2 linked regions of the Danio rerio genome follow. The protein of the gene in region 2 interacts with the protein of the main gene of each other region in a pairwise test. Links are inferred from orthologs where the notes say so. Each region holds a gene or a part of one and is shown on either strand. Other genes may lie near its edges.

Region 1 (5,895 bases), on a different chromosome or scaffold from region 2:
AGGATCTCATAGTTTAATGAATGTTTAAATTAATATTTAAAAGAAAGTTACATTACATAAACATACCTAGTATTGAATGAAAGATTATTTCAAAATTGGTAACACAATAAGATCATTTTACCTCATCTTCCTTTAGGTCCGGATTGCAGGCACAGACACACTAGAAGAGTCATTTGTGTAAATTACCTGGTTGGCTTTTGTCCAGAGGGCAAGTCATGCAAATTTATGCAGTGAGTAACCGTGATTGTATTTTATGCATATTCATATATGTAATTTTATTAAACAGTTTTGTATCAATTATAATCATTTGAATTTTCATTTTGCATTTTCTAGCCCAAGATTTGAACTTCCGATGGGTGCGACTGAACAGCCACCACTGCCACAACAAGTACAGACTCAGCAAAAGGTTTTTAATCTTTTTTTTTTTTCCACAAAATGTTTTAGTTGCCATGAAATATAGATTATAATCATCTTTTCTTCTTTACTGTGATATAAACATGCCTTCTGAATTGGTCTCTCAAATGAGAAGAAGGTTTTTGGGTGGGACTTGATTCAGTTTTTTAGGATTGTATTGATTGTTATTGTCCTTCTTCAGAAGCCATCAAATAAGAAATGGGAGGGCCCTTTTGAAAATAGACTCATTTTTCAATCCTCCTAGCATTAAACAGTTCAATTGTACCATTTAGCTTAGCTTAGCATAGATCATTGAATCGGATTAGACCATTAGCTTCTCACTCCCACATGGTCTAAATTTTGATATTATGGTATGTAAAATCTTTGTGCCATGCTATGACAGCTCGACAACAAGTTCCTTGATTATTACACCAGAATGAGAGTATAGTCCCTAGCCATACTATCCAAGATAGTAGCAACTTTTCATTTTCTGTTGGTCTTAGTACACAATGTAACTATGAATTTTTTTTATGAGCAAGATGGTAATGGTCTATTCCAATTCAATGATTTTTGCTAAACTAAGCTAAAAGTAGAGATGGCTTATGTGAAACTAACGTTTCAAGACAGTGTCGAGATTCCAAAGCGCAAGTGTTTCAAACACTGCACCGAAGCATGATCCGAAACACCCTGGTCACGTGACTAAAGTGTTTAGAAAAACCTGGTCACGTGACTAAAGCGATTCAAAGCATCGATCATGTCAGAAGCGTTTCGAGACCTGACGAATCTGCATTTGACTGACAGGGTCTGAAAAAATTCTGTCTCCAATAGCCTAGTGGACTGTGCGTGTGCATGTTGTCACTGTGCTTCAAATGGCTTTTGGGTTCGAATCCCGACTTGAACAAATACTCCGAAATTCAGATTTTACATATTTTAATAATGTTACTGTTTTATGGTGTAGTCTAGATAGGATACAGCTGCGGAAATGGCATCACTTCAACATAATTTTTGTAAGAATAATTAATACTTTATAAGAATAATTAATATTTTTACTTTATAAGAATAATTAATATTTGTACAGTACTGTGATGGTTGGGTTTAGGAATTGGGTAGTCGTTAATAAAATACAATAAATGGGAAACTTAATGAATACTATAAATAATCCTTTTTAACTTCTGGCCACAACCATGTCTGATCTAGCAACAACCCTGTTTTATGACCAAAACAAGACATATTTATTCACAAAGTGTTTATTCGGATATCAAACCAATGTTGAAACAAAACGATACAAGAACAAAGCATTTCAAACTGATATTAAGCATTTCAAAATAGCTGTATCAGCTGGGATTCAAACCCACTATCCCTGCATGCTAATCAGAAACTCTCTCCGCTCCACTAAATTACTTGAAGGTTCAAGCTTCAATTCTACAAAGTGGGGTTTAATACCTCAATATGCTCAACTGTTCTTTGCTGAAGTACAATACAAGCAATACAAAAAAAATACTACTAGGTGTCACTGTAGAGTGGGGTTTTGAAACATTTCGAAGCTTCGACTGTTTCAGTGTTTCATGAAGCCTTGCTTTGCCCACCACTAGCTAAAAGTGCTCCTACCAGACTCCTAGAACGGCTGAATGGATTCAAACTGTTCAACTCTGGGCGACTTGTAAAATGAGCCTTTTTACAAAAAAAAGTGGAGCATCGCTTTAAAGATAATAAACAATCATGAACTTAAAATAATTATTTATATATATATATTATGTTTATAAATAGGCCCACACAGAATCTGCGCACACAGAATTCCGCAGATTTTTAGCCCATCATTGGTTCTGTTTAATTACTTGTGTAAATGTGTGTAAATTCATATTTATTCAGTTTTTAAATTAATTACAATTTTATTGACTAATCTGAAAATATTTATATGACTTATTTACAAAACAGTTTGTGAAGTAACATTTTCTGTTTTTTAGTAGATATATGATAGACTTGTTATGTTTACTAAATAAAGTGAATCTAACTGGATCTGCATTGTAAACATTAAATACAAGTTAAAAATGTATTACTTTTTATTGCATGTATTAAGGTTTTATTTAAGATAATCCCAAAATAATTTGGCATAAATCCGCAGATTTTTACCAAAGTAGGGTATATGCCGAGCTAGTGTTCTTGCCATGCTGATAAACTTCCGGTGAGCTGTTTTTTTCTGTTTTATTTTTTCCTTTCATAGCATCAATGTTGTTATATAATCAAAATACAATCAGTTAAACAGACTTTGGTATTCATTTAGATGCTCAAGTGTAAAACGAGACAAAAAGCCGTTTGCCCGCACGCGCCCGTCAGAATCGGCAGGTTAGCGCAGAAGCTCCATTCAATATACTGGGGTAAAATAAATGCTCATTTTATAAAGACATGGCGGGGGGAAATGTAATTTAATGCGGTGCTTCTTGTACAATCTGAGACCCATTTTATATCGGATATCACTCAGCCAGTGGAGATAGCTGATTTTTAAAGAAAACAGACCTTAAATGCGCCGGTTTTCCATTGACATAAAGTTCACCGGAAGAGTTGAACCCAGGTTACTGGCAAATTAAAAGTCCTGTTAGCATGCTTCAGCATATACCCTATTCTGCGCAGAAATAGCAAAAGTGTCCGCAGATTCCGTCTGGCCCTACTTATAAATAATAATTCATTATTATATATTACAAAAACCTATCATGTTAATTTGATTCTCCAGCAGCAAAACATGCAGCCCATGAACAGGTCATCACAGTCACTCATCCAGTTAACCAACCCCAACATCAGCAACAACAACCACCAGAGAATTCCAAACGCTGTAGGGATAGTGCACTCTAACAGCCACATGGGTGGAGCTCGTGGCCCTCGCCCGCTGGACCAAGTTACATGTTACAAGGTAAAGGCTCTGTTTGATTTCATGCATAAAATACACACCCTCTCCCTCAAAATTGTGCGACCACATTCAACGTCTGCTCGTTTCTTGCAGTGTGGTGAAAAGGGCCATTACGCAAACAAATGCACAAAAGGACACCTGGCGTTTTTGAGTGGACAGTGAAGCTTTCTGTAAAAAGGATCTCCAATAAATGTGGTCATCACGTGAGGTATTCGATTCCTGGTACATTACCCTCTCACTGAGAAGGGTGTAGTTGAGTGACATAAATGTGGCTCTACCTCACCACCATCACGTATGCCAAGCGCATCACAGTCACATAACACTTTCAACAGGTAGAACACATCAGTAAAAGATTTTTATATTGAGTTTTGTTTTTCTTTCACATGAAACCTTACATACCCGATTTCATGCTTTGAAACGTGAATCTCTGCTATTTTATTTAGAGCTGGAAGATTTTTTGAATGCTTAAAGGGATAGTTCACCCAAAAATGACAATAACCTGCATGTTTTTTTGTTTATTTCAAATGTTGAACACAAAAGGAGATATTTTAAAGAATTTTGGTTGCTGTCACCCATTTCCTTCCATAGTAGGGAAAAAATTACTATGGAAGAGGATGTCAACAACTAACATTTCTCAAAATATCTTATTTTGTGTTTAACAGAAGAAAGAAATTGAAATAGATTTTGAACAAGGGAAAGTAAATGATGGCAGAATGTTCTTCTTTGGTGAACTATCCCTTTACATTTTAAAGTGATAAAGCAAAATATATGAAAGTCTTTTGGGGAACTTTTGGCAATAGCAGCCAGTGTGATCTGAAATTGAAGAGCACCGTTTTGCAGCATCAAAATGGCTTGTTTATATAAATTACATTTAAAACAGATGTTTGGGTTGTACTTACAATAAAGATTATCTGGATTTATGAGACCATGGTCTTGTTTTTATCTATATTCAATAGTATGAAAATTTGCTAGATGGTCACTTCTTCAGATGTTGGTGCTTCACAAATGTAAGACCATTTCATCACCTAAAACATAGTGTTCATAGGGTTCAAGAGTCATGGAATTTTGACATGGCATTTTTAGGCCTGGAAAAGTTTTGGAAAAATTGAAAAACCAACAAAGTTTTGGAAAAGTCATGGAAATTAGTTTAACAACTGTCTGTAAACTTAAATATGGGTTAGTTGTCTTTACTTCTTTTACATCCATGGTCAAACGCATGCTCTCACGTTGTTAGTGCTGTGTGAACATTATCTAAATACATTTTACAAAGATGTAAAGATTCATTTAAACTAAATAGATTGTTGCATGTTTTGTGGTATGCTGTAAAAACTTTAAACATGGATCTTTTTTTCTATTATTTACCACATATACGTAGACATTACATGAAACATTAGGTCATGACAATTTGCTTGAAAGTACTGGAAAAGTCATTGAATTTTAGTAGTAAAATGTGTATGAACCCTGTCAAAGCCTTTTTGCAACATATTGAATTGTGTTTTAAAATCTGTGTATATTTACATGACAATGATGAACTTTATACTAGTTTTTCTTTGGGATATTTGCAATGTTAAAAGTAATCTAGTAATTGTCTGGTAATCTAGTAAAACTATATATATATTTAAATGCAAAAACCTCTAAAAGCCATTTCATATTTTCTTCTAAAATTAGCATCTCTCTTCGACTCCTGTGTGTAGGCTCAGTAATTTCTCTTTTACAGTGACAAATAAGTTCTTTATATTGCCTTTAAAGTGAAATAACTGAAGATAAACGGATGGCATTGAGGTTTTCGCATCTGAACTCTTCATTTATAACTCCACCTTTCTTGTTTCAGCCGTCTAGTACGTAATACACATTTGCACAATGTGATAATATAGCACTTTTGCAACATACATAAAGACAATAGTGTATCAGTTTTGCCCTTATGCAGTGTTTGAATGGAGTTTTATATAAAAATATTAAACATAACTATTTGAAATCAGTTCAAACTTAGCATTTTAAGGCCCTAAAACAGAGGTGGCCAACCGTTCCTGGAAAGCCATCTTCCTGCAGATTTCAGTTGCATCCCATATCAAGCACACCTGCCTGTAATTATCACGTGGTGTTCAGGTCCTTATTAATTGGTTCAGGTGTGTTTGATATGGGTAGCAACTGAAATCTGCAGGAAGGTGGCTCTCCAGGAACAGGGTTGGCCACCCCTGCCCTAAAACATTGTGCAAATATACCACAGGTGTCAAACTCAGTTCCAAAAGGGCCGCAGCTCTGCACAGTTTAGTTCCAACCCTAATTAAACACACCTGATCAAACTAATTGAGTCCTTCAGGCTTGTTTGAAACCTACAGGTAAGTGTGTTGGAGCAGGATTGGAACTAAACTGTGCAGGGCTTCGACCCTCCAGGAATTGAGTTTGACACCCCTGAAATATCCCCTCAAAGAAATCATACTAAACACTTGAGTAAAATCTTAAATACAACCAATTTAATTTAAGACATTCATCTCGAGTAGTCAAACTCCAGTACATAGCGAGTTCACCAAAAAAAAAAAATTACCCATCACGTCAAACCTGTTGGAGTTTATGTTCAACACAAAAGAAGATATTTTGAA
Region 2 (5,151 bases):
GACGAGACAAAGAGAGGGAAAAAGAGCGAGAAAGAGAGAGACAGAGAGACCGCGGCCACGAGAGAGACCACAGCCCCAACGCAGGGCCTTATAACAGGTGAAAGATGATGCTAATGAATGTGATTTTTGCATAGTATTGGATATTAAAAGCAAGACACTGTAGGTGAATAAGGTAAAACAATTAACTAATATTTGCCTGTTGATTGATTACATTATGTAGAACTGCAAACATTTAGTTTAAAAAGGGGTATGTTAAATATGGAAATGAGCCATTATTTCATTAATTATGTTCTAATTTGCATGCAGTTCTAGCACATAAAGCATTGGAAGTCAGGTTTAATTATTATTTTTTTCTTTCATATTAGTCAGTTCATTTCAATAGTGGATTTTAAAAATCTCTTTATTGCTTCATTATTCAGAAAATAGAGCAAACAGCCAGAAAAAAAATCACTTTCAACATTGCTTGTACAATAAAATGGTGTACATTATCAAGCAAGTTATGTTTAAACTTATGTTTTGTATGTTTCATAAAGTTATGTTTTAGAGATTAATATTATAGATTAGATCTTTTTAATTGATTAACAGAAAATAGGGATTGTAATTATTTTTTCAGGGGTTTTCACCTTTATTGTATAGGACAGTAGAGAGTATTGACAAGAAAGCATGGGGAGCAGAGAGAGGGAAGGATTGGCATAGGACCGCAAGGCGGGAATGGAACTGGGGTCGCTGTGAGCACCGGAGTGCATGGGTGGATGCACTAACCACTACACCACTGGCGCCGGAGAGAATAGGGATTATATAATCATTTTTTTAACATTAGACTGACTCTGAAAGCCCAGAATCTTATACATTGACAGATGCATGGGAAACTGTGATTTGATATGTTTTAAAGGGGTGTGTTTAAATATCAAAATCAGCCAATATTTCATTAAATATCTGCTAATGCAGGTCTAGCACATAAAGCATTCTAAGTCAGATTAAATTTAATGATTTTTTTTTATATTAGTCATTTAATTTTATAGAGTGGATTTTGGAAATCTCTATTGCTACATTATTGAGAAAACAGTGCAAACAGCCAGAAGAAAAATAAGAAAATTCACAATTTTTATACTGCAAAATGGTGTTTATAATTCACCAAGTTACGTGTATAAATATAAAAAAAACTTGACAATTTAGATTATAGATTTTAGCATTTTTATAGATTAAAAATAGACACCAACAGAGATGGAGACCCCAGGATTATGTTCACAGAGAGAGAGCTGGAAACAGTAGGACATTTTCTACTTCACTGTGATCACCATCGCCACATTAGAGTTCTATATTTTTTTTAAAGATTCAAGCTAATTTATCCAAATTTTATGGCATTATCAAATTCAGGAAAATGACCATATATTTTAGGTGAAAATTCAACAATGATCCCAACAGCAGCCAAATATGTGTCAGCCTGCCTCAATCTCTCAGCCAATGGACAAACCTATAGCAAGAGCATTTCCTGTTTATATCCTGATAATTATTACCATTATCTTAACATTTTTATTGATTTGTTTTTATTTTATTATTATTTATCTCTTGTTGTTAGAATTTTTATTTACTTGTATTTATTTACTATGTATATAATGTGCATGTACCTATTACTGATATATTCTTGACTTGTTCTATGTATTATATAACTGCTTCAGCAATACTGTGCAAGTCATACCAATAAAGCTCATTTGAATTTGCTTAGAAATATAGAACATGGATTATTTCATCATTATTATTTTTAATTAGACTTCATTTATAAAAAGCCCAAAAGATTAAACATTGACAGATGCATGGAACACAGATTATTTTATAGGTGCATGTTTAAACAGTGCATGTTCTTCCCGTGTTCTTGTGGGTTTCCTCTGGTTTCCCCTACAGTCCAAAGACATGCAGTACAGGTAAATTGAATAAGCTAAATTGGCCGTAGTGTATGTGTGTGTGCAAGAGTGTTGGGTTGCGGCTGGAAGGGCATCTGCTGCGTAAAACACGTGCTGAATAAGTTGGCGGTTCATTCCGCTGTGGTGACCCCAGATTAATAAAGGGACTGGGCCGAAAAGAAAATGAATGGATGAATGTTTAAATACAAATGAATTATTATTTCATGAAATATGTGTTCATTTCCATGCACTTCTAGCACCTAAAGCATTGGAAGTCTGATAATTTTATTTGGCAACTTTTTTGAGAATCTCTTTATGGCAATTCTCAGTTTTAGAAAAATGTTTAATTGTCATTTAGCCTGAAAATCAATTGACAAAAAGGCCTAAATCTTAAACACTGACAGATGCGTGGATTGTTTTTGCCTACAGTGTCTCGCTTAAGAGATTTAAGTTGTCATCTTACTATACATGACTGATCAGTGACTCAACGTTCTTCTATTCAGGATGTTTTTATGGAGCAGTTGTTTACATTGTGATTGATTTTAAAGCATGGCCATGTGCAGCGATGAAGAGCGCTACCGCTCTTACCGTGACTATGGAGACCGAGGATATGAGAGGCATCGGGAGCGAGCGAGCCGGGAGAAAGAGGAGCGCCACAGAGAGAGGAGACACAGAGAGAAAGAGGAGGGCAGGCACAAGTCATCACGGAGGTACTGTACCACGCTCTCAAATCAGGATACACTAAAGCTCAACCAACCTAACACAAATGACCCAAAATCTGTGTTTTTATGATTTGGTTAATCAATTGTTTTTCCATTTACTCGTCTACAAGTGGTTTGAGTTTCTTTATATACACTTAAACAGCCTAAAAAACTGGGCAAGGCCCAAATGACTTATTAATGCACAAGTAAATCTACCATGTATCCCCTTTAAGATCTTTTCTCCTCTGTGATCTTCTCCTGTTCTGTCACAGCAGTAGCAGACGGAGACATGAGAGCGAGGAGGGAGACAGTCACCGGCGCCACAAACACAAGAAGTCCAAGAGGAGCAAAGAGGGCAAAGAGCCCAGCGAGGAGCGATCCGCTGACCAGGAGAACCAGGAGGCCATGGAGTAACTCCTGCTCGCCTTCTGTCACCGCAACCAAATCATGATAAACGAAGCTGTAATCCAGTTTACCTTCTGTTCGTTTTCACGTTGCCCTTTTTTTTGTTCTGTTGGTTTTTCCCAGTGCAGTTGTAACATGTAGATGTTGATTTGTTGGATTAAAAAAAGAGCATTTGGTAATGTTTGTTGGGTCTTGTGTGTTTATTATTGTTATTAAAAACGTTCACAGTTGTTATCAGACCCTACCAAGGCTGCATATAATAGAATTAAACAGTGTTATGGAATTCTTTTAGGATTTAAAAGGCACATATGATGAAAATCAGCTATTGTGAGCTGTTTGGACAGAACTGTGTAATTATAGTGTGTCCACAGTCATATTGGAGTGATCAAATTTCCTGATGTGGACCACATGTCCACCGAACATTTGTTTAGCAAATAAACTGGAATTAAAATTTTGTACAACTCCCTTTGATTTTTTGCAAGTTTAAAATGGTTATTAAACTAATAATAAGGTTAGTAGACACTAATATGTGTGTGTACTGCAATCAGCGATGATGTGAGACTCATCATGTCAGAAAGGCTTGAATAAACTCCACAAACACATCAAATTTGCTTGGTATTTTTGACTAATGAGCTGTATTTCAGCTTTATCTGAGTCTGTTTATCTGACGTAATGCATGATGAGAACTGGGCGGGGCAGGGAGAAGCAGCTCATTTACATTTAAAGCCACAGGCTACAAAAACAGCTACACTGTATTCAGACATCAAAATGGGCAGATTCTGGGGCTATAATAAATAATCTGATGGGTATTTTGAGCTGACACTTTACAGACACATTGTGGAAACATCAAAGGCTTATTTTACAGCTTGTGAAAGAGGTAAATTAGGTGTTCTTTGAAATAACTTTTGGGTTATTTTTGGGTCAAGCAGACATTACCCCAGCCTTCAGTGTGTTATGTGATTCTACAGAAATATAATACCTATTATTCTGTGCTTAAAAGCTGTTCTTATTATCAAGTTGAACACTGGTCAATATTTTTATTATTATTAATGATTTATTGATGAATAGAATAGTTAAAAGAACATTTTTAAAAGGAATTATTTGCCTTTTTTTATCTATTTAATCCATTATTTTTAGTGCAAAAAAATTACTGGTGGAAAATATTTTATATTAAAAATAATAAATAAGGCCAAACATTTGAACGGTGGTGTATAATAGCGTATGAAATACAATGTGTATTATTTATTAAGTTTGCTACCTAACAAGTAAACTACAACACATTAAGTACTAAACAATACATTTGCAATTATGGATAAAAGGGCAATATTTACATAGCTCTTTAATGAATTACACTGAAATACAAAAGCATACTATTTATATCTACTGTACTCTAGTATAAACTTTATTAATGAGCAGCGGTTGACTTAACCATTAAGCGAGGTAAGCAGACGTTTTGGGCCCCAAGCGAATTAGGGGGCCCCAACCAATGCCAAGAAGCCTGTACTAATATATTATTAATCAATTCAATTTGTTTATTGTCATGTGCAAAGTAAGGAAACATGTGTCCCTGTACAATGAAATTCTTACTTTGCCGTCCACAGTGAAGTCATACACATATCATACACGCATAAATACACACATACATACATGCATATATATATATATATATATATATATATATATATATATATATATATATATATATATATATATATATACACACACACACACACAGAAAGAGAAGTGGCGAAAGTATAATTATGAAATGTAAATATATAAACATCTATTAATGTAAACAATATATAATAATGAGTAATGTAAACAATGTAAAGCAGTTCTTAAAATTGTGCAAAAAGTGCCTAGTGCAATTGGCTTATGCGCAAACAAACAACATTATAATGGCCGGAGCAGATTGAGTGTAATTGTATGCATTAATAGTGCAAATTGGATGGAGAATAGTGTGCTACTGAGCAGAAAATGAAACCGTTTTGTTCACTGGTTATCCGTTTAAAAGTGTGATAGCTGATGGGGATATAAAAGAGTTCTCGAGTGTGGCAGTCCTGCATCTCACTCTTTTACCTCCGCCCTGAGGGTATAAAGCTCTTTTATAAATTTTCTGTCATATGTTGTAAAATCTGTCTATA

Evidence for each region.
Region 1: the proteins of fip1l1b (region 2) and cpsf4 interact in binary tests that used the Homo sapiens proteins (3 or more experiments, as listed by UniProt). The two-hybrid records come from large-scale screens. The link is inferred for Danio rerio from reciprocal best matches to the Homo sapiens genes FIP1L1 and CPSF4.

Annotation. Positions count from the first base shown.
Region 1 is NC_133178.1:39,238,898-39,244,792, forward strand, and holds the end of cpsf4 (cleavage and polyadenylation specificity factor subunit 4), read left to right. Parts: intron 1-136; coding exon 137-230; intron 231-333; coding exon 334-406; intron 407-3,121; coding exon of another isoform or gene 3,122-3,124; coding exon 3,125-3,298; intron 3,299-3,388; coding exon 3,389-3,457; 3' UTR 3,458-4,218; downstream 4,219-5,895. UniProt on the Homo sapiens protein: Component of the cleavage and polyadenylation specificity factor (CPSF) complex that play a key role in pre-mRNA 3'-end formation, recognizing the AAUAAA signal sequence and interacting with poly(A) polymerase and other factors to bring about cleavage and poly(A) addition.
Region 2 is NC_133176.1:15,785,413-15,790,563, forward strand, and holds the end of fip1l1b (pre-mRNA 3'-end-processing factor FIP1), read left to right. Parts: coding exon 1-97; intron 98-2,449; coding exon 2,450-2,611; intron 2,612-2,874; coding exon 2,875-3,016; 3' UTR 3,017-3,190; downstream 3,191-5,151.